5 linked regions of the Coturnix japonica genome follow. The protein of the gene in region 4 purifies or fractionates together with the protein of the main gene of each other region. This does not show direct contact. Links are inferred from orthologs where the notes say so. Each region holds a gene or a part of one and is shown on either strand. Other genes may lie near its edges.

The links. The genes of interacting proteins can lie anywhere in the genome.
Region 1: the proteins of MMS19 (region 4) and CIAO3 purify together in Homo sapiens (affinity purification with mass spectrometry; 3 studies listed by BioGRID and IntAct, with this or other methods). This does not show direct contact. The link is inferred for Coturnix japonica from reciprocal best matches to the Homo sapiens genes MMS19 and CIAO3.
Region 2: the proteins of MMS19 (region 4) and PPAT purify together in Homo sapiens (affinity purification with mass spectrometry; 3 studies listed by BioGRID and IntAct, with this or other methods). This does not show direct contact. The link is inferred for Coturnix japonica from reciprocal best matches to the Homo sapiens genes MMS19 and PPAT.
Region 3: the proteins of MMS19 (region 4) and PRIM1 purify together in Homo sapiens (affinity purification with western blotting; 3 studies listed by BioGRID and IntAct, with this or other methods). This does not show direct contact. The link is inferred for Coturnix japonica from reciprocal best matches to the Homo sapiens genes MMS19 and PRIM1.
Region 5: the proteins of MMS19 (region 4) and PRIM2 purify together in Homo sapiens (affinity purification with western blotting; 5 studies listed by BioGRID and IntAct, with this or other methods). This does not show direct contact. The link is inferred for Coturnix japonica from reciprocal best matches to the Homo sapiens genes MMS19 and PRIM2.

Annotation. Positions count from the first base shown.
Region 1 is NC_029529.1:5,995,599-5,999,759, reverse strand, and holds the start of CIAO3 (cytosolic iron-sulfur assembly component 3), read right to left. Parts: upstream 2,801-4,161; 5' UTR 2,742-2,800; coding exon 2,676-2,741; intron 2,354-2,675; exon of another isoform or gene 2,252-2,353; coding exon of another isoform or gene 2,219-2,251; intron 2,070-2,218; coding exon 1,974-2,069; intron 1,677-1,973; coding exon 1,533-1,676; intron 1,433-1,532; coding exon 1,300-1,432; intron 993-1,299; coding exon 858-992; intron 462-857; coding exon 343-461; intron 1-342.
Region 2 is NC_029519.1:58,388,138-58,392,312, reverse strand, and holds the start of PPAT (amidophosphoribosyltransferase), read right to left. Parts: upstream 2,801-4,175; 5' UTR 2,678-2,800; coding exon 2,550-2,677; intron 958-2,549; exon of another isoform or gene 943-957; coding exon of another isoform or gene 922-942; intron 912-921; exon of another isoform or gene 1-911. Other genes in the region: PAICS (multifunctional protein ADE2), read left to right, coding at 3,104-3,122, 3,478-3,675. UniProt on the Homo sapiens protein: Catalyzes the formation of phosphoribosylamine from phosphoribosylpyrophosphate (PRPP) and glutamine.
Region 3 is NC_029544.1:1,686,240-1,690,304, reverse strand, and holds the start of PRIM1 (DNA primase small subunit), read right to left. Parts: upstream 2,801-4,065; 5' UTR 2,526-2,800; coding exon 2,423-2,525; intron 2,310-2,422; coding exon 2,152-2,309; intron 2,069-2,151; coding exon 1,962-2,068; intron 1,794-1,961; coding exon 1,720-1,793; intron 1,582-1,719; coding exon 1,445-1,581; intron 1,377-1,444; coding exon 1,318-1,376; intron 863-1,317; coding exon 753-862; intron 637-752; coding exon 545-636; intron 475-544; coding exon 330-474; intron 185-329; coding exon 115-184; intron 16-114; coding exon 1-15. Other genes in the region: retinol dehydrogenase 16-like, read left to right, coding at 3,062-3,374, 3,445-3,703, 3,992-4,065. UniProt on the Homo sapiens protein: Catalytic subunit of the DNA primase complex and component of the DNA polymerase alpha complex (also known as the alpha DNA polymerase-primase complex - primosome/replisome) which play an essential role in the initiation of DNA synthesis.
Region 4 is NC_029521.1:19,483,586-19,487,698, reverse strand, and holds the start of MMS19 (MMS19 nucleotide excision repair protein homolog), read right to left. Parts: upstream 2,801-4,113; 5' UTR 2,715-2,800; coding exon 2,627-2,714; intron 657-2,626; coding exon 608-656; intron 1-607. Other genes in the region: UBTD1 (ubiquitin domain-containing protein 1), read left to right, coding at 2,959-3,205. UniProt on the Homo sapiens protein: Key component of the cytosolic iron-sulfur protein assembly (CIA) complex, a multiprotein complex that mediates the incorporation of iron-sulfur cluster into apoproteins specifically involved in DNA metabolism and genomic integrity.
Region 5 is NC_029518.1:79,161,343-79,165,617, reverse strand, and holds the start of PRIM2 (DNA primase large subunit), read left to right. Parts: upstream 1-1,475; coding exon 1,476-1,629; intron 1,630-2,489; coding exon 2,490-2,593; intron 2,594-2,870; coding exon 2,871-2,950; intron 2,951-4,275. UniProt on the Homo sapiens protein: Regulatory subunit of the DNA primase complex and component of the DNA polymerase alpha complex (also known as the alpha DNA polymerase-primase complex) which play an essential role in the initiation of DNA synthesis.

The sequences.
Region 1 (4,161 bases), on a different chromosome or scaffold from region 4:
GGCATGATCTGCACGTATGCACTGACTGAGGTTTTGTCCTGGGTTAGTTTATTTTACCTTATTCACCAGCCTTGATCAGCAGGAAAATACCATACAGGACGAGTGAGATATAAGCACAAGAATAATGACAAATCAGATTCCTTAGACTTCCTGAATAATATATAGAGATTTCAAGCCACAAAGTGTGAACTTAGTGCTGCTGTCCCAGCTGCAAGTTTCTTAACAGGTATCACAGAAGTGACAATGCCTTTGCTGGCAATTTGCAAGATAAAAACAATTATCTTCAATCCTTAATGTACACAGTACAGGAAAACGTATCAGCTTGTGTTTGATGCACCTTACCTGCTGCTCTGCAAAATAGCCCTTTATCAAGGAGCCCATGATCTGCTGTGGAGACTTAGTGGTGCTGATGTAAGGAATGATGAAACTGCCATGGGTTTTCTCTGCATAGCAGATCCAACCTGAAGAGAGAATAATTAGCAAATAGTTGCAATCAGTAACTATAACTATATAACTATATATAACTATATAACTATATATATATATATAGTTATATATATATATATATATACATATAAATAGCAAGCACCCCTTCACTCTGCCCACAACCTCAGGCTCACCACCCATTCATAACCATTTTCAGCCTCAGCACAAAAGGCAAAGAGGTGTAACAATTCCATTTATAGAGGCGAGTAGGTATTTCTACAGACCATTACCACTATTAACACCAAGCTCTCTTTGTGAAGAGTAATACTTTAAGCAAATTAATATGAACTTTTCTGACTAGCTTTTTGAGTTCTTGTATAGGTGTATTATTAGAATGGCATCTTATTTCTGTAACCAACTTTGTAATGTACCTGGACAGGCAGAAGCTAGCATTGGCAAAGCCTTTTTGTCTTCTGATTGCCTTCGGAAGCGTTTTACAAACTCCTTTTGGCTCTCCAGCAGGCTGAAGTTTCTTGAGAAAGTTGTATCAAATACATAGTGCACACCTAAGTGGTACAACATGCACATTAGAATTCACAAGGAAGATACAAGCAGCAAGCTACACATCATATTTACTGCTATCAATCTGTATTTGAGAGTGAACTGTTTTCTCTAGCACAGCAGGACAAGAGCAGAAGTCATAGGAGGAATGCGGATAATTTAAAGCTCCTTTCCTCCATTACTCCAGGTTTATTTTGTGACTGAAGTTTGTACTTCTTAATTCATATCACCTTTAGGTGCTCATAAAAGCTGTGCCTGATGGATAGCCCAGCAGTCCCCTCTGTCATGGGTAGGACGCAATGCAGCACTTGCCTTGACTCTTTAAGAATGCAGTCAACTTCTTTGCTGTTTCCAGAATGCTCATTTTACATTTTGCAGCCAGTGAAGCCCTGGATTGTGGTGAAACAGAAACCACCACCAGCTTCTGTTCATTGGGAGCTGCAGCCTTTAAAAATAATAACAGCAACAAAAGAAAGCTGATCAGACAGTACTAATACTCACATCTACTAACTCTGCAGCTGACCCGCCCCTGTCTCATCACTTACCTTGTTAAAAGCTAGAGTTTTGGAGAACTCCTCATGGCTCTGCTGAGTGATTAAAACACTCTCTGCTGATGTAATGCAGCCACTACAAGCTAAACAGTCATTCAGAGTAATTTTAGCCTTCTCCAGTTTCTGTGCTTCTCCATCCTGGGAAGAAACAGATAAGACTCAGTTTTGGTCACAACACAGAATTGAGTAGGGTGGCAGTTTCTCATCTTTACTATGTTTAGTAATAAGGATATTGTCCTCTTTACCCTCCTGGCTTATCAAGAGCAGACAAGGAAGAATAAAGGTGAGGAAAAAAGGATTTTGTAATATATTTTGCTGTTGTCATCAGCATTCCCAGATCCTGGTCCTTAAATAGCGGCACCTTATTTAAATACATAACTAACCATCAGCATTGTCTGGATATCTTACACAACAATAAAGAAAGGTCAGGCATACCTGAGTGATCTGAACATAGCTCCCATCAGCTTCAATTCTGATCTTAGCTGCTGCTTTCCCAGGCTTTTTTTCCACCTTTACAGGTTTGATACATTCCTAAAAGAGAAATAAGGCTCAGAAGTGAAGAGACAAGACTCGAACGGTCAAACCCAATAGAGCGAATGTCTATTACTCTGCTTTAAATGATGCCAGATCTACTGACTGTGTCTACATCCACCAAGGGAAAATGGTCCTTAGAACCTTACCCCTTTCTTACAGAACGAGCACCTTTTCAGCATCACACCAAAGCCAGAGGAGACTGTGTCCCTTCCGAATCACAGAGCTGCGTTAAAAGGAGCCTTGACAAGCACAGAGCCTTGATCCCCTCTTAGATCTCACAGACGATCTCGCATTCCCTCATTGCAAATTGGAACGGATGGAGGCGTGGTCACTACAGCCAGCGGGCGGCTATTGCCAATGGGGTTCCATGTCATGTCGGAAAGGCTCTGACAGGCTCAGCACAGCTGTTGCCTGATTTTTGTGCTGCTCTACCATGGAGCCCCAAGGGCTTTTTTAGCATTTTATGTCATTTTTACTGCCCTATCTGCACAGCTAGACTCGCACAGTGCTGTCTCCTCACCTCCCCCCCCCTACTCCCTGTTTCCCTTCCAGTATGGCTCTCCTAGGCCGGGCCCTGCGGTTCTTGCCCCCCTGGACACCCACCTGCGAGGGTCCGATGTAATCATCCAGGTCGGTCAGCTGCAGCACCCCGCTGAAGGGAGACGCCATGACAGCGCCGCCGCCGTCAAGCGCGGCAGCCAGCGGGAGGGGCAGGAGTTGCGACACTGTCGTAAAAGCCACACTGCTGTCGTGATATGGCGCCCTGTCGTGATATTCAGGATAGAGGCAAAATGACGTTCCGTTGGGTTTATTGATAGCCTTGCTTGATAGATCCTTATCATAAGACACACACATGACACAAAGGGATTAAAGCTTCCCTAGCCTGCTTTACTAAGCGCTGCCTGCAAGGGGCATGACATTACCATGCATTAAACACATCCCTTGCTGGTAATAGCAAGGTGCTGGTGTGGGGAGAAAGTGCTTTAAAAGCTGGGGGTCTTTAATGGGGTTTAGGGTCAGTCACATAAGAAATGGAGGTAGTTTATGAGCCTGGATCTCTAACTCTCCTGAGGCATTTTCCTCTCCTCTATTTTGTCTGCATGTAACATCACCATCTGTAGGTGGCTGTGTATGCATCCATGCATGTCTATCTATACACAGAGCAGAGAGGGAGGTCAGACTGCTTGGTTACATCGCAAGGTGTCGGCCTTACTGTAAGGGGAAGCTACTGAAATCACATCATGCTTTTTAGAAGGCAGCTGACTCATACAGGAGACCATTTTCCTGAAGCTCTAAAATACAAAGCTGCTTTGTACTCAAAGTAAGGAGTGCCTGACAATTATAGCTATTTTTTGCTGCACTTGAGTGCGTAATAGAGATGTCCAAGCGCTGACGGTACTCATGTCAGGGCAGGATGGAGTAAAAGCATTGCTGGATACCCACAGCACCTCACCCTTTCATTCCTGGTGCTGTAGAAGGTGTGTGCTTTGGGAGAACCTGTTCACACGAAAGACCTGGGAACTGAGAACGTGGCACAGCAGCTGACACAAGCAGCTGGATGCCAAATGCTCTGAACAGTGTGAGTTTCATGGTACAGACGGAACTAATGGCCAAAGATCCAATGTTGTAACAACCTGTTTTTTTCCTAAGCAGTCTTTCAAGGCTGGGCTGGGCTCCCAGGAGCACGTGTGAGTTCTGAGCCTCGCTGCTGAACTCTGCTTTTCCGACGTCAGTTAACTTAAAGCTGGTCATGCTTCTTAAACCTGGCTGCTCATGTGTCAGGAGGACCTCTGTACCCTGATGGGCAGCTAAACAGGATTAGGGTACTGTTAAACAATACTTCTGCTCCAGTGTAGCCAGTCACATTACCAACATGAACAGAAACCTTACCAAGAGAGAGGAAATACAGGCTTCACGGTACTTCTTTTTCAGCTTTATTAAGCTTATAATTCAGGAGGTTTGACTGTTAGGTACATGTGGTTTTTTGACTTTGTGCAACTCAGAAATGATTATAGAGAAGGAGGTAGATAGCAAGTAGAATTTCATGTAAAGTTTTGGCAAGGTGTGATGTGATGGTTGAGTTTTACTT
Region 2 (4,175 bases), on a different chromosome or scaffold from region 4:
GTATCAGAAAAGCAAGTTTTCTTCTCCATTTACTTCCATTCTCCTAACAAATTCCACACACAGACCCAGCTGAGCTGGGACAGGCAGGATTCCCTTCCTTAACCAGGCTTCCACCTGCACAGCAGAGGACTTTCAAAGACCTTGTTGAAATGAACATCAGTTTCAGCACACGGCATTACTGCCAAAAGTATTTTCCAGAGAATTTTGCAAAAAGTTAACAGGAATCACACTTGTTCCAAGATTAACGTTGCAAATTTGTCCTGGTCAAGGACTTCAATGACGTTTAATAGATTTGTAACTCAAAGTACTCCTCCTCCCTCTCTCACTGCCCCCAAGAAAACCCTCTCCTTACCAATATCCCTTAACTTGACTTTGGTTTGCTGTCCTTGGATTTTACTTTGTTCTCTAGCTTACTTTTCATAAAGATGACTTAGAATATGTCCTTAGTTAAACTGGGACTGTGTTCTTAGTGCAGGGAAGGCCTTGATTAGTGCGCAAGCAGGAATACGCTCAGTTTTTTGTTTCAATTCATGGTACATGACTATAAAGTAAAAGCCAATAAAAAGCCATATTCTGCCTTCCTTAAAGGACAATTTCTGACATGTATAGCATAAGAATAATTAGCAATGTAAAAGAATTGTGACCGTGCTCATCTCAGGCCAGTAGTCATTATCTAAACATCCCTATTAATCTCAGTGTGAGGCCTAAGGGATGTAGCTTCCAATGGACAATGAAACCTCTGTTAGTTGCTCAGGACATGGTTGGGACTATCCATTAATATTAACTGCATCTCTCTTTCAGATTTAATCCCCAAAAGGAATATGGCTAAGAGACACTTCTTAGCTTTTCAGTTTAAAAGAACAGACTTAACAAAATTTACCAATGCAGTTAATGCTATCTATCTTATTCTTGGTTTTCAAGAGATACTCCAAAAAGAAGTAAGAACAAACTTGGTACCTTATTACCTCCGGAAAGGGATGGCACATTTCACTGCACCTCACAGCAGAATGCTAAGGAGAAGTACAGAGAGGATGGACAGAAATGGCAAAGAAGGAAATGGGAAAGTTAACATCTCAGCTATATAACACTTGATATTGACTGCTTGCAAATGTGTATCAAGTTGAATGTCCGTTCACTTTACAGTGAGAGCAAACAAGTTTCATTTTACACTTACATCCAAGTTTATGTCTCCAAGAAAGCATCCTTTGAGAATTTTGACCCATACTGAGATAAGAGATCAGCATCAGAGGTAGGGCCTGTATGACATTAGGAGCTTATGCTGTAGTTTTGCATAACTTGCAAATAGCTTACAGCTTCAGCCACAACGTTAGCATTATTATCATATAAGGCACCACAGGAGATATTTGATATTAAAGAGCTCACGGAAATCAAAGTCAAGTGTCCATTACAAAAAGAGAGGAAGAAAGCTATGTGTTGAACAAGGTTGCAGTAAAAACTGAGAGTAAGCTGCAAAGAGATGAAAGTACAGCATTTTATTTCCAACTAAGAAACTTCACCCAAGTCCAGCAGCGTGACTGTAAGCATAAATGAACTAGGATGTTTTTCCAGGCTCTTTCCAGAAAAATGGCTCAACCAAAAATGAGGCCACTGATCACATGGCTTCATTCCTTACATTCTGTTGCTTTATCATCCCCAATAAAAACGATTTTGATGGGCACTGGCAAACATGTACAGTTCATGAATGATGGTACACCTGCAACCCAAAGAAAACTGTTAGGATGTAAGTGCAAGTTTTTTTTACCTGTAAATGTATGAGACTGGGCTCTAACAGAAAAACTGACTGCATCTTCTACTGTTTCTACTACCCAAAACAAATTCGGAGCAACCCTTACATGTTTGTGACCTCAAAATATAGAGAATAAATCTGTGCATGTGTACTTAGAGCAGCACGCCTTCCCGAGCTGCCCTGCATGTCAATGTTCCTACCGTTCACCCAGAGGAAGTTAAGCAATATTATGCAGGTGTTCGTAGGCCAGCGGGGCCACACACAGCATGTGCGTGCGGCTGCTCCCACGAGGAGCTCGCACTTTCCTCAATGAATCGCGGTGAATGCAGTTTCCTTTACACAGCTATAGAGGTACCTCAGGTAGACGCCGAGTTTTATTATTATGATGCATCTGAACGGTTACGGCTAAGAGGAACTTAGGACTCCTCGAGAACCGCTCTGGTTCTGTAGATTCAGGTCGGTGGGATTGCATTTAGGGACGCTCAATGCCGGGCATAGCATGGCGTGGCACGGCACGGCATGGCAGGGCATGGCAGCGGGTCCTTGAGAGCCAGGCGCATCCCTGCCACCCCCCGCACGGCCGGGCCGGGGCGATGCCGCTTCGTTGGCTGCAGGCGAAGTCCGCGGAGTGCCCGGGAGCCGCTGCTGCTGAGGGCCCGGGGAGGCTGCCCGGCTGCCGCGGGATGGAACAGGACGGGCCCCCGGCAGCCCCGCTCCTCTTCACCCTTCGGTGGGGCGCCCCGGCCCGGCGCCCGGCCACGCGTTAACTTCCCCCTGCAGGGTCGGGCGCCGTCCCCCTTACCTGTGCTGCAGCCCCACCAGCCCCAGCGTGATCACATGGGGCACGTCCAGCTCGGTGGGCCACACTCCGGAGGCGATGCAGCCGAACACGCCGCACTCTTCGCGGATGCCCAGTTCCTCCAGCTCCATGGCGGCACGTGGCGGCGGGACCCGACCCGGCCCGTCCCGCTCCGCTCCGGCGGATCCTCCCGCGCTCTCCTACGGGCACCGCGCGCAGCCGCCGGTCCCCGCCGGGCGGCCTCCTCATTTACATGCGGGGGGGGCTCCGGCCTCGCTCCCCGCCCGGCCCCCCCTGCGCTCTCCACCCCCCGCCCCGCCGCCGGGACCGCGGGGAGCCGGCATTGGCCGAGGCGGGACGGGGCAGCGTGCGCTCGGGGGGTGGGGATGGAGGGGCGCGGGTCGGCCCCGCCGTGTTGGGCGCCGATTGGAGCGCGGGATCCGCTCCCCGCCTGCCCGCCCCTTCCGCCGGGCCCTTCTTACCCCGCGGCGGGTCGGCCGCGTGCGTTCAGCTCCTCTCCTGTGCTCTAGGTGCCTGTTGCCGCCGCCGTCGCCGCCATGGCCCCCGCAGCATCAGGTAACGCGCGCCGCGACCGCTGGGTGCTGAGGGGGTGGCGGTCGCGGGGAGGAGGGCGTAGGAGCGGGACTCGGAGCCGCACTGTGCTGTTGTGGGGCTGTGCTGTTGTTGTGTGGCTGTGCTCCGCGTTCGGGTGTCTGCGGAAAAGTTTCTGTTGGCCACGTTTCTCGTTCCGTCGCTGATGTTGCTGTCCGTGTCCCGGAGTTGCGGTCACAGCACCGCGGGACGTGCCGCTCAGCTGCGCTTCGGCATCTGGATGCAGCGAGCAAGTTGTGAAGGCTTAAGTGTGCTGACGTACGCAACCAAAACTCTGCATCTAAAACGCTCCTCATTGTGTTTTATTTTTTTTCTTTAGAACTGAAACTTGGTAAAAAAGTTAACGAAGGTAAAACGAAAGAAGTGTACGAGCTGCCTGATATCCCGGGATGCGTTCTGATGCAGTCCAAGGACCAAATAACTGCGGGGAATGCTGCCAGGAAGGACCGGATGGAGGGGAAGGCTGCCATCTCCAACACCACCACCAGCTGCGTGTTCCAGCTGCTGCAGGAAGCAGGTTTGTATTGCAAAGGTAGAATTAATGCCGCCATGCTGCATGTGTTGCCACCCAGCACTGCTGGCTCCGTGCTCTGACTTAGCTTCCCCAAAGGCTCAGATATATTTTGTTCAGGCTTTGTTTCTAGTTCACCTTTCCCTCTGATACCACAGAGCTGGATGGACGGCCCAGTCATTTGGTCCACTAGAGTATCTGACATCTGCTGGCCACATATGTCACTGGTACAGGTTCTCCCCTGGTATGGATGTAGCCCTGGTCCTCCTTTCTGCTGCTCAGTCCCAGCTACTCTAAAAACTGTATCATCCACTATGAAAAGTAATTGATTTTAGTTAATCAGCAAAGTCATTGCTAGTGTGTTCTGTGTGTGAGAAAGAAAGAAGGCCTCTGTGGAACTATACCTACTTCTGTGCAAGTAGCTCTTAAAGCAGAGATCGAGGCCTTCTGCAGACAGCTTGGTGAAGAGGAGCCTGTGATTGGGTCATTTGGTATAACCTCCAGCT
Region 3 (4,065 bases), on a different chromosome or scaffold from region 4:
TCCTGGCACAGCGAGCTGCATGGAAGGACAATGCAGGACATGGTGGGGGGGGGCTGCTCATAATAGGGGCTACCCACAACCAGGGCTCCCCCCACACCGACCCCATGTACCGACCTGATGGTGGGCACTGAGAATGGGTCGAACTCATCCAACCTCTGCAGGTCCAGCGGCACCGAGATGCGACCTACAAGGGACAGAGATAGGGGAAGGTGAAGAGAGGTGCTGCATGGGGTGCCCATAGCAGGGTGCTGACCCCACAACCAGCTGCACCCCCCCCATTTTGGGGTACCCGCCTGCTTTGGGGTACCCCCCTGTTTTAGGGTACCCACCTGTTTTGGGGTGGACACTAAAGGGGCTCTTCAGGAGGTGCCCGATGCCTTTGCTGACGTTGATGTCGAGCCGTGGGAAGCAATACTGCAGCATGATCTCCCAGTCTGCATAACACGCCGTGCCCTTCCCGCTGCCCGCAGCCCGCTGTGGGTACAGGTAGTCAAGGGGCAGCACGGCCCCATAGCTGCCCCATAGCTGCCCCATAGCCACTCACCCGCGTCCTCTCCATGCGGCCCTTGAGCAGCTCCCAGCGCTGCCCCGAGTCACGTTTCTTGGGGAACTCAGTGTGCAGCAGCTCCCGGTGCTCTGCGGGGCTGTTAAGGGCCATCACAGCCAACACAACCCCCCCCTGAGCCCAGCAGATGGAAGGATAGAAGGAGAGAAGGAGAGAAGGAGAGAAGGAGAGAAGGATAGAAGGATACCGTCTGGAACCAGAGCAAGCACTTTGTCCCAGCGCTCGGGGCTGCCCAGGATGTCCTGGCCCTGCAGTGCATACGCCTCGAAGTATTTCTCCACCACGTTCACTGAGCGTCTGAGGAGCAGATGGAGAAGCTCAGAACCCCATAACCATCAGCTCAACACCCCATAACCATCAGCTCAGCACCCCATAACCATCAGCTCAACACCCCATAACCATCAGCACAACACCCCATAACCATCAGCACAACACCCCATAACCATCAGCACAGCACCCCACAACCATCAGCTCAGCACCCCACAACCATCAGCACAGCACCCCATAACCATCAGCTCAGCACCCCACAACCATCAGCTCAGCACCNAACCATCAGCTCAGCACCCCACAACCATCAGCTCAGCACCCCACAACCATCAGTTCAGCACCCCACAACCATCAGCACAGCACCCCACAACCATCAGCTCAACACCCCATAACCATCAGCACAGCACCCCACAACCATCAGCTCAGCACCCCACAACCATCAGCACAACACCAGGCAGAGCACCCCCATCCCCATCCCCACCCACCTGATGAATGGATGCACAGGCTCTGACAGATTCACCTTCTTCACCGTCTCAGCTCCACCCTGTTAATGTCAGATTGTTCAGCCCAACCAGGTGGGCAACACAACCCCCCCCCCCTCCATACACCCACCTTGACCAGGCTCAGATACTCCACAGCAGCAGCTCTCAGAGCTGGGGACCATTTACGTACGGCGTCATCACAGACCCAGCAGTGGACACCTCTCCTTCCTGAGTACACCCACAGCCGGTGCTTCATGCCCAGGTCCTCTATGGGGCACAGTGGGGCTGGGGGAGCACTCCAGGCACTCCAGCCCCATAGCAGTGCTCCCCCAGACCCATTTGAAGGCATCACAATGGACAGCAGGGTCTGGATACGTGCTCAATGCACATCCCTGCATCCCTCACCCACGAGTGCACGGTCGATCACACGGACAGCGATGGTCATCAGAGTCCAACACTTGGAGCAGATATCAGCCGAGCTGTGGGCAGAGCACAGCGGTCAGATGGGTGCCAAGCATCCCCCCCCACGGCCAACTGGGCTCTATGGGGCTGCAACCCCCCCCATCCCATCCCCAACCCCCCCCATGGCTAACGGGGCCCTATGGGGCTACAACCCCCCCCTCCCCATCCCAAACCCCCCCAGGGACCTGCAGCACGTCCGGACATCATCATAGTCGGTCATATCGATATCAAACACCAGCTCCTTCTCCACGGGTTGGAACGCCCCGAGGTGCACCGTGTTGTGCTGGTTGGGCTGCGGGGAGCACAAGGGGTCACATCCCGCAGCCACCGGGGGGTTTAGGGGTGGAAGAAGGGGAGTGGGGGGGGGATACGAACGCGATGCGAATATACGGCCCCGATGTCGATCTTATAGGGGTTGGTCCTTTGCAGCTCCTTCTCCAGCTCCTGCGGGCTGCAGAACGACTGGAACCGCACGTAAACGTCGTCCCGCAGCGTGAAGGAGAACTCCCGAAGCTGGAAATAGTTCTTCTCCACTGCGGGGATGCGGAGAGGGTCGGGTTGGGGGGGTTGGGGGGATTGGGGGGGTTGGGGGGGATGTAGACCCCACCGATTCGCCGTCCCGACCCCGCCCGGTCCCTTCGCTCACCGCCGCCGTAGCCGAGCCAGCGGCCGTAAGCGCCGTGTGGGAAGAGCCGTCGGTAGAACACCGGGAGAAGCTCCGGTAACGCAGCCGGTTCGAACGGCGCCATGACGGGAAGCGGAGGGAAACGGCGGGACCGAAAGAAACCGAGTGGTCGCTGGGAGATGTAGTGCGACCCCTCCCGGAACGGAGCTGAACCGCTCCGACAGCGCCGGCCGTCGGGGAACCGGAGCGGGTTAACGGGGACCCCCGGGGGGGCTCAGCACCGGCACCGACCCCGTCCCTGCTTTGAACAGCGGCCGAGTCCCGGGAGCGGAGCCCCTGAGACCCCCCATAAGTTGGGTGGTGGTTCGAGGGCAGCTCAGCCCCGTGCCAACGAGGGGCGGCTTTGCCAACGAGCCGAGGGGCCACGGATGGGGATTGAAATCACGGGACGTGGGAGGACGGGCTGAGCCGCTGCCCGGCCCCGTATTCAGATGTGTTGGCACTGACACACACCGGCCCCGAGGAGTTGGGCCGGTCCAAGGTCGGCACGGGCCGGAGCCAGAGCTCAGGGCTGCGCTTTGTGCCGTGTCCACGCGAGTCCCGGCCGCCTCCACGTCCCGTTCCTCCTCCTCGTCGTGCTCCTCCTGCTGCCGCCCCACCATGTGGCTGTGGCTGCTGGCGCTGCTGGGGCTGTGGCTGCTGCGGCGTTGGAACCTGGAGCGGCAGACGGTGGGCGGCCTGGACGAGAAGTTCGTGCTGATCACGGGCTGCGATTCGGGCTTTGGCAGCCTGCTGGCACGGCAGCTGGACGCGAGGGGGCTGCGGGTGCTGGCGGGCTGCCTGAGCGAGGCCGGGGCCGCGAGGCTGCGGGCGGCCGCCTCGTCTCGCCTGCAGACCGTCCTGCTGGACGTCACGTCCAGCGACAGCATCGCCGCCGCCGCCGCGTGGGTGCGGGAGCGAGTGGGGGACAGAGGTAGGAGGGGGTCGGGGTGTGGGGAGTGGGCGCCCAGCGGGGGTCTCGGCTCATCCCGGCCCTATTGCAGGGCTGTGGGGGCTGGTGAACAACGCCGGCATCGCCGTCCCCTCCGCCCCCAACGAGTGGCTGAGGAAGGAAGACTTCGTGGCGGTGCTGAACGTCAACCTGGTGGGGCTGATCGAGGTGACTCTCAGCCTCCTGCCGCTGATCAAGAGGGCGAGGGGCCGCGTGGTCAACGTGGCCAGCGTGGTGGGCCGGCTGTCCATCTTCGGGGGCGGCTACTGCCCGTCCAAGTTCGGCGTGGAGGCGTTTTCCGACAGTCTGCGGTGAGTCCTGCTCCCCCCTGCTCTGCCTGGCAGCGTTATGGGGCTGGTCGGACCCCGCTACTCGGACCTTGCCCCGCTGTGTGTCCCATGGAGCGGCTCCAATGTTTGCTCTGACCCCATCCCGTCCCACTGCGGTCAGTGTTTGCTCGTGCACCATCCCAGCCTCATGCTGGGCTGCTCGTGGTGCCCTCTGTGGTTGGGTTTCCCTGCTGTGCCCCATAGCGAGGCCGTCCCCACTCAGCCCACCCCCCTTTGCTGCTCCCATCCCATTGCATCGCTGCCTTCCAGGCTTGAGATGAGGCACTTCGGGGTGAAGGTGAGCATCATCGAGCCGGGTTACTTCAAAACAGCCATCACCGGTT
Region 4 (4,113 bases):
ACTCCTGCTCCCCTGACCATGCTGCTCACGAGCACCTGGTCTCACACAGCAGCACAGCCAAGGTAAGAGGCCTCTTCTCAAGTCAGACCAAGGAAATTGCTCTTGCACCATGCTCCGCAACCAAAAGTCAGGCTCCCAAGATCACAAGAGATGAAAAAGGGCAAAGCCTGCTACAAGGAGACAAAGCTGGAAAGAAATGAGGTTCCCCAATCCCAGCCCGTGACAGCTCAGAGACAGAACTAAAAGCTGAGCGGCAGTCAACTCATGACATGGAGAAGGGCAACTGTGTGGTCAGACAGCTCCTGCTAGGGAGTCTCAGCTGCAATGTGCTCTGCGGCTTGCTGCATGCTGCAACACCTTTCCTCAGTCCCAGGAGAGATTTACAGGCCCCTCCTGCCCTTTCCTGGAGGGCTCCCATGCCCTGAGAGGGCAACGTGCAGTGAGCAGGCAACAAACTTGTGGTGTGTCTGTGTGCCCGGTGGTGCTGAAGGCAGTTTGCACAGGACGAGATGTCAGCACACACTTTTCCTTCTCACTGCCCCTTACTATGGGAATCTCCCCCACAGAGCCCTTACACGATGTATAATGTGTACACAGCTTTCCTTACCCCAGGGCTTCCACAAGCTGCAGAATAGTCCAGCTTCCATCTTTCACCCCTGGAGAAAAGAGATAAAGAGAGTGAACCAAAGAGACTCCCAGACAGTTATTGAGGCAGAGAGCAGCTCTCCCGATGCTCCCTAGGGGACAAAAGAAACCAAGCTCTTAACAAGGCAGTGGTTGAGCCAAACAGCCCAGACATTAACAAGCACTCAGCTTCCATCACCTCTACTCTGAGCAACACCTGCACAAATGCCCTCCAAGGCAGAAAGCACAGAGAAATATGGTTTTGTGGTTACTGTACGACACAGTGCTGGGACTGCTGGAGTGTATTTGCAGCTCTGACTCAGGCACCCCAGCCAGGTTGCTTCACTTACCTCCTGCAACTGAACTGGGGGAAGAGTCACTCCCTAGGAGGCTTTGGTGAGAATCTACTGCACCCTTCAAAAGCCACGGCAGAGGGGCTCCTACCCCTGCAGTCAGTGCAACACTCACCCACTAAAACAGCTCTGCGTGCCTTTGGTCCCCAGGATTCACCATTTCTCTGCCCTGCTGAGGGCTTGTCTACACAATTGGTGGGGCACCCACCTATCAGAAAGCCCAGAGGTTTCATTTGGGACTGTCCCAGGCCTTGCCTCAGCTGGAGTATCCTGCTATTGCCAGCATTTACTGTCTCTTTCTAAAGCAGTTAATTCCAGTATTAAGTTGTGCTGTTCATTGGAGAGTAGTTTCTGTGGATGGAAGAAGAAATGCCCACAATTTCTGTTAGCAAGCAGCCCTGGCTCCAAAGACAGCACTTCCAGTCCCACTTGGCACAAAGAGGATAGGAGGCACGGCATGGAGAGCCATGAGGAAAAAGGAGAGTCCAGCTGGCCGCAGGATGGACAGCCACAGGCTGAAGAAGAGGTGCCTCAAGTGAGACTGAGCTGCTGGCAAAGCCTCTCGCAGGAAAACAGAAGCATGGTAGCAAGCAGGCACTGTGCTTGAGCACAAAGCAGAGTGCTCCTTCACACCTAGGATCCCACCACCTTATTCCAGAGCACAGCTCCTGCATCCTCATGACTCTGACCTCTGCATGATGCAAAAGGTCAGAGACACACCAGTCCCACAGGTGAGCACTGACCTGCTCTACACTTTCAAAGCCTGAATGCAATATTTAGACAAAGGTGCCGGTGACCTCACCAATAGGAAAGAGCTAAAGAGTAACGATCTGGCCACAATCAGCCACCCGTGTTCTTGTGGCTATGAACCCCCTCGCTCTGGTCTCAAAGGTCTGCTCGATTTCACTGTGCATGAGCGAACCACACGAGCCCAGCAGCATGCAGAGCAGCAGCAGCACGCAGCACAGCTGAACTGCGAGCTCAGCTCCAGCTGTGCACCTTGTATCCCAGTGTGCTCCTTTACCAGAAGGGCTGCCCTGCCCTGGTGGTGTTCCTAGAGTGTGAGGCTAAACAGAAGCGAGCAAGTTACCCTTTGTTATATTCTTATTTGAAACCCATCAGCCTTCCCTGACATCTCCCTTTCACGTGCCACATTTCATATATCATTTCCATACACTTTCTTCTCCTTACGTTTCCCCAGCTCCCTTACAATGGGAGTGCAGCAATTCCCAGCGGGCACAATGGATTTCTCTAACGGCGTCATTCGTCTCCCGGTGTTTTAACAGGAGCACACTCAGCCCCTCTGACACACGCTGCCTTACGCAGCCCCAGCTGCGACAGCACCGAGCTGCCTCCCACCTGTCAGGGCACATTGAATGCAGCGCACAAAGGAAGCTCGTTCAACGTGTTTCTTCCCACAGTCACACAGAAGGCGCCGAGCTCAGAATAAACCCTGTCCTTCCCTCAGCGCTACGTGCTGTACCGTAACGCTTCCAGCCGTGACTCCATACAGGTCACGGAGGCCGCACGATGCCGGCATCCCCCCGTCATCCCACGTGTGTCTGTCACAGCGCCGTGCGGCTCGTGGGACCTGGCGGACACGTGGCCCAGCAGCCCCGCACCCCACCCCGCCCCGCCCCGCCCGGTACCTGCGGCCAGCTCCGCGTTGCGCCCGTCGTGCTGCCCGCTCACCCAGTCCCGCACGGCAGCACCGAGCTCCTCCGCTCCCGCCGCCATGTCGGCCCGTTCCCCGGCACACACCGGCCGCGCTCCCGCCGTGCGCACGCGCAGCCCCGAGGCATGAGCCCACGGCACATGCGCGACCCCGGCGCCCCCTCCTCACCTCGCCCCCCCGGCCGGTATTGGTGGGGGCGGCACGGCGCTGTACGGCGGCGCGGGAGGGACAAAAGCCGCGGGCAGGACGGACGCGCGCACGTGGGCGGCGCTCCCCGCGGGGCCGCGGCCGCGACGGGGCGGTCACATGCGCACGTGGGGGGCGGGGCGCGCCCAGGGCCGGCTTTGGCGGCGGGGCGGCTCGGGCGGTCGGAGTCGGGCGGGGCGGTTTGACGACGCCGGAGCCCGCGGTGCAGCGCGGCGTGGAGCCCGGCCGGACACATGCCGAGCCGCCCGCGCCGCCGCCGCCGTCGGTGAAGCCCCGGCCATGGGCGGCTGCGTGGGGCGGCAGCGCCGGGAGCGGCCCTCAGCGGGGAGCCCCCGCAAGAGAGCAGGTGAGCGGCACCGCAGGGCGCGGGGCGTCCGGTCGCGGCGTGCCCGGTGCTGGAGCTGTCCGCACGGCACCGCCGGCCGTTCTCTTCCTGCCGCCCGGTTGGGGTCGGTCCCGGGTCGTCCCGGCTCTTCGCTGTGCCGGGGATTCCCCCGCTCGTTCCCCGTGCGCCCCGTCGGTGCCGTGCCGTACCGTGCCGTGCCGTGCCGGGCTCCCGGTTCGAGCCGCCGCGCATCCCCGGCGTGACCCCGTAGTGCCGCGGTGCCCGTGCCGGGATTGGCTCGTGGTGCCCCGCCAGCCCCTCGTGTCCCCGGCCCGTCCCCAGCACCGCTCGCTCGGACCGGCCGGGCTGGGGGCAGCGCTCCCGCTGCTGCAATTCGCCCCGTTGCGCCCCATCGTTCCCCAACGGGCCCCGCCAAGCGCCGGGCGGGCGGCACGGTGAGTCACTGCCCGCCCGCTGCACCCACACGGGGAGGAGCAGGAAGCACCGGGCGCGGGGACCCCGCGGCGTGGGCCTCTCACGGGAGAGGTTTTCCCACTGACCGGTGCCCGGCTGTCACGGAGCGGGCGGTGCTGCAGGATGCTGCTGGGCACACAGAGCAGGGCTCGGATCTGTGCGCTGTGCTGCTCGCTGTCCTCGTGTCCCCTCCTTCCCCCAGCACTGCAACCCGAGGCTGGGGGCTCTGAGCTGCTCCGGCTCATAGGTGGCTCATAGGAGGGCTGACCCTGCGGGCTGCAGGGTGCTGGAAGTTGTCTGTCCGGAGCAGCCCTGCAGGGAGCTGAGCTGGGCAGCAGCAGGTACGGCATGTTGGGTTTGAGTGAGAGCACAGCTGGGCAACTCCTGACCCCCCGTGTCCCCCGAGGGTGTGGAGTTGCACAACGGCTGGGAATAGAGCAACACAAGATGATTAG
Region 5 (4,275 bases), on a different chromosome or scaffold from region 4:
GCTGGACATGAGCCAGCAGTGTTTGCTTGCAGCCCAGCGACTGACTGTGGCTCTGGGTAGCGAGGTCTAGTGGTTGGTGACCCTGCACATAGTAGAGGGGTTGATCATTGTGGTCCCTTTCAACCCAGGCCATTCTTTGATTCATTGTATGATTTCTTGGGAAGTACCCTGAAAGATGATGCTAAGGGACTGAAAATAAGATATATAACAGAATATAGAGCTGGTAAGTGTGTTTACCATAGCAGCCTAAGCATACTGAATACGCATGCAGGGAGAAGGCAACCTGTCAGAATTACTTTAGGATGACAGTGAGATGTATCTAGATTTCCTCCACCTGTGTGCTAGAGTTTTGGATGGGCAATGTGGGGATACAATCCTTTAACCTAAAGCCCTGATGAGTGATTTAAAATGTCACAACGGATGCAACCATCATTACTCCCTACTTTAATATATTAACACTGAGAGACCAAGAATGTATTCTGACTAAAATAGCCCCTTGAGCCTCTCTTCAGTTCATGATTCATGCTTTGCTCACTTTGGAACATGAAGGAGTTTAAAGGCCAGCTCAGTACATTTCCCATTTATTTATAGTTAACACAAAGGTATCTGCTTATCACAGTCAGAAGAAAAAATATCTTAGTGTAACTTGAATGGCAGATATTTTACGAAGTAGAAAATAACTGGGCTCCCAAGAATTAGCAGTGCTGTGGACACTGCTAATTGGTATAACAACAGGGGAACAGATAACATTCAATCATGTTTACTGCAAAACAAGGGCTTTGTTGTTCTGTTATTTCGGTAGCACAACAGTAGGAGTTTGAGGTATGCTGGATTGGACTGTGCTTAGTTGGGGCTGTGGGGACAGTTTGACAGCTGGCCATATGGATGTTGTAAAACATTTGTCAGGTGGGTAGTTGGAACACCAGCGTTTCTGCTAACAAACACTTCTAAAATCAGAGTCTGCTGGTAACGTTGCTGTGGAAATGATGAAAATAGAAAGGGAAAAAAGTAAGTAAAATGGTATTGTGAGAACTATTGCTGTGTATAGGTTTTGATTTGGTAAGTCAGTAGGAAAGTTTGGGTTATGACACCTACTGAGTTGTGGTGTTTTCCCCCACGGAGATACCTATCCCCTACTTTGTTTCCACTTCCCAAGAGAAGGATTTCTGCGTGAAGGAGCTGGCAGCCCCCTCACAAGGTATTGCATGGTGAGATTTGAGTCAGGTAATAGAGGCTCCCCGCTGCAGGTGCTGAGAGAACTACCATAGAGTGCCTTTGGCGGCTAGAGAGCCCACAGCCGACATGTTGTTTGTGGGTAAAAGCGGGGCGGAAATTAGCGAGCAGGAAGCAGGCGGGGCGACCGCTGCGCGGGAAGCCGGAGCGGGTCCTGGTGTTGGCTTGGGGCTGGTGGGATCTTGTGTGACCCTTCAGCCCCGTCCCTCAGCCCTTTTCGTTTTCTTCGGTCCGCTCTGCAGATGGAGTTCAGCAGCAGAGCGCGGCAGCGGCACCTGAGGCTGGCGGGGGACAAGCGGGAGCCGTACCCCCACAGCCTGCAGTTCTACCAGGAGCCCCCCACCGAGACCATCTCTCTGAACGAGTTCGAGAGCTTCGCTGTCGACCGCCTGAGGCGTGAGTAGTGTGAGCTCTGAGCGATTTCACAGTTCAACTGAAGTGCATACAAATCGCTATTATGTGGTATTGGGTTATAGCCTTGTTTTTCAGGGTCTCTGGATGCCTCTCTTGGATGTCTCTGTGCAGGCACTGAGGTCATGGCTGGGAGCAGTGCCCCCAAAGAGCCACAGAATGCAGGTCTCTGTCCCTGCAGTGCAGCTGGATGCTCTGGGGCTGATCTTTCTCCCTGCTCTGCTCCCTGCCTGGATTTTAGGGCTGGGCGAGCTGTCAGGTTGGACTGACATAGTAGGCGTGGTGTTGATGGGTTGGTGTTTGGACTAGATGATCTCAGTGTTCTCTTCCAACCTGAATGATTCTGTGATAGGTCCTGTGGGCTATGGATGAGTTGGGCCATGCTTTGTCTTTCTAAATTCTTATCCTTTTACTCCTGATACTGCTAACAGGAGTTTGCATGGCCTTTATTTAGTCCTTTTTTCAAGTCATGATAGAGTTAGCTTCCTTTTCAATATGTTATCATAGAATTATAGAATGGCTTGGGTTGGAAGGGACCTTTAAGATCCTCTAGTTCCAACCTCCTGCTATAGGAAGGGACACTTCCCTCTAGACCAGGTTGCTCAAAGCCCCTAGCACTGAATGCTTCCAGGGAGGGGGCATCCACAGCCTCTCTGGGCAACCCGTTCCTGTGTCTCACCATCTTCACAGTAAAGAATTTCCTCCTAATATCTAGTCTGAATCTACCCTCTTCCAGTTTAAAGTCATTTCCCTTCATCCCTTCACTACCTGCATATTGTGACTATATGGACTACAACTAACTGTGTTCTAACTATATGAACTATGTTTTTTTTTTTTCTCCTCAGTGCTCAAGGTAGTTGAAAACCTTGGTGTGAGCTATGTAAAAAGTGGTGATGCGTACAAAAGTAAGCTGGAGGCTGAGCTCCGGAAACTTAAGTTTCCCTACAGAGTAAGTATAAATAGAAACAAGCAGCTATTTCTTTTGCACTCTATTTTCTGTACACTGTTCAGAAATTCTGCACAAATTACTATTCCTAAAGCTTGTATTCTGGCAGCTTGTCTTTAACTTAAACTTTGTCTTTAAAAATACATGTTTATTTTGGGCAGTCTGCCTCTTTAATAGTCCTGTGTTTGAGGTTATAGATATAAGTATTGATATGATGTGAAACAGCAGTGGTGGATAAACTGTGGATTTCTAATCTAATTTCTAATAACATTTTCTGTAGGCTTTGGCTGAAGATGATTATGATGCAAGAAGAAAGGACCATATTTCTCATTTCATACTGCGCCTTGCTTACTGTCAGTCGTAAGTACTTTTTGGATTACTTTTTGGTCTTGTTACTAAGTTTAAGTGTATGTGTGTATACATATTGTTATAGATTGCATAGGGCTGTATCTGTATGGCTACTAAACAGAAAGGTAGTTCAAGTAGAGGTTTACTTTTCTGGAAAGCTGATTTCAACTGTGATGATAAGAGATATTCAGGATCAGAATTAATATCCACATTATATAGTTTTTTTAGTCTTATAATATAGAAACTGTTGATTGTACATATGGAGTATTGATAAAAGTCACTTTCTTTATTTTCAAGAAAGAAATCAAAAGGCAGCCAGTTTTGTCAGTCATTGATTTATCTGATTACAGAGAATTTAAATGAACTGCTCCATATATTTCAGCTGTTGCTTACTTGACCAAATGACCTGAGTAAGCTGGTTATGTGAATAGGCTTTATGGTGCTATCTAAAGAGAGCCTTATTTCTCAGAAACCAAAAATACTGAATCTGAGGTTTTCTCCACTGCTTGTTATTTTCTTCTAAAGTAATTGATTTTTACATTTTTATTTGTTTATTTATTTTGTCATGTGAAATCTAAGGCACGTAGTTTGTCAAGTGCTTTCGTTCTGTTTCTGCAATAGGCTCTGGGTGAAGTTGTACAGGTTGTCAGTGCCTTATGTCTATTAACAGCTTTGTTGTGCATCATCCTGACTCCTTGCCATTGCAGTCCTGTTTTATAGTTAAAACTAGTGAGTGTGTGTTCTCTCTTGAGAAGTGGCTATTTCTGAAATGAAATATTTGAAATGAAATATTACTCTCTAAAGCCAGATGTTCTCCAAAAGATAAATTTGTGAGTCAAATACCCAGTTCTGCAGGGTTTTATTGTATTAGGTCAGAAAAAATTTGCACAAATTGCTACACTAGGTGATGAAAGCAACTAAGATAGCAATCTTTGAAAAGTCTGCTTAACATAGCTGTGAAGTTGCTTGATTTCAGTTCCTGGTTGCTTGGCAGAGGGGGTGTTGACAGGCCTGTTCTGCTATGCCTAAGTTTCTAGCAGTCCAACAGTGCCACCCAGTGGTGCAAGTCTTCATCATCTTTTTTCTGCATCAGACCTCTGATAATGTGGATTTTGCTTTGTACTGGTTTGTACATGGGCAAAATGGCATGAAGTGATCAGCTGCACCTTGTTTGGGCTGGTAATAGAGTCATAGCCTTTCACTGTCCTTCTGCCTTCTGAAATCCAAGGCTTTAAAACTTACTCTTGTGTAACATTCCTAAGGTAGGATTTGTGCAGTCTTGAGTGAACAGGTTCATCCTTACCCTTCATTCATACCTCTAATGTCACTTAAATCCA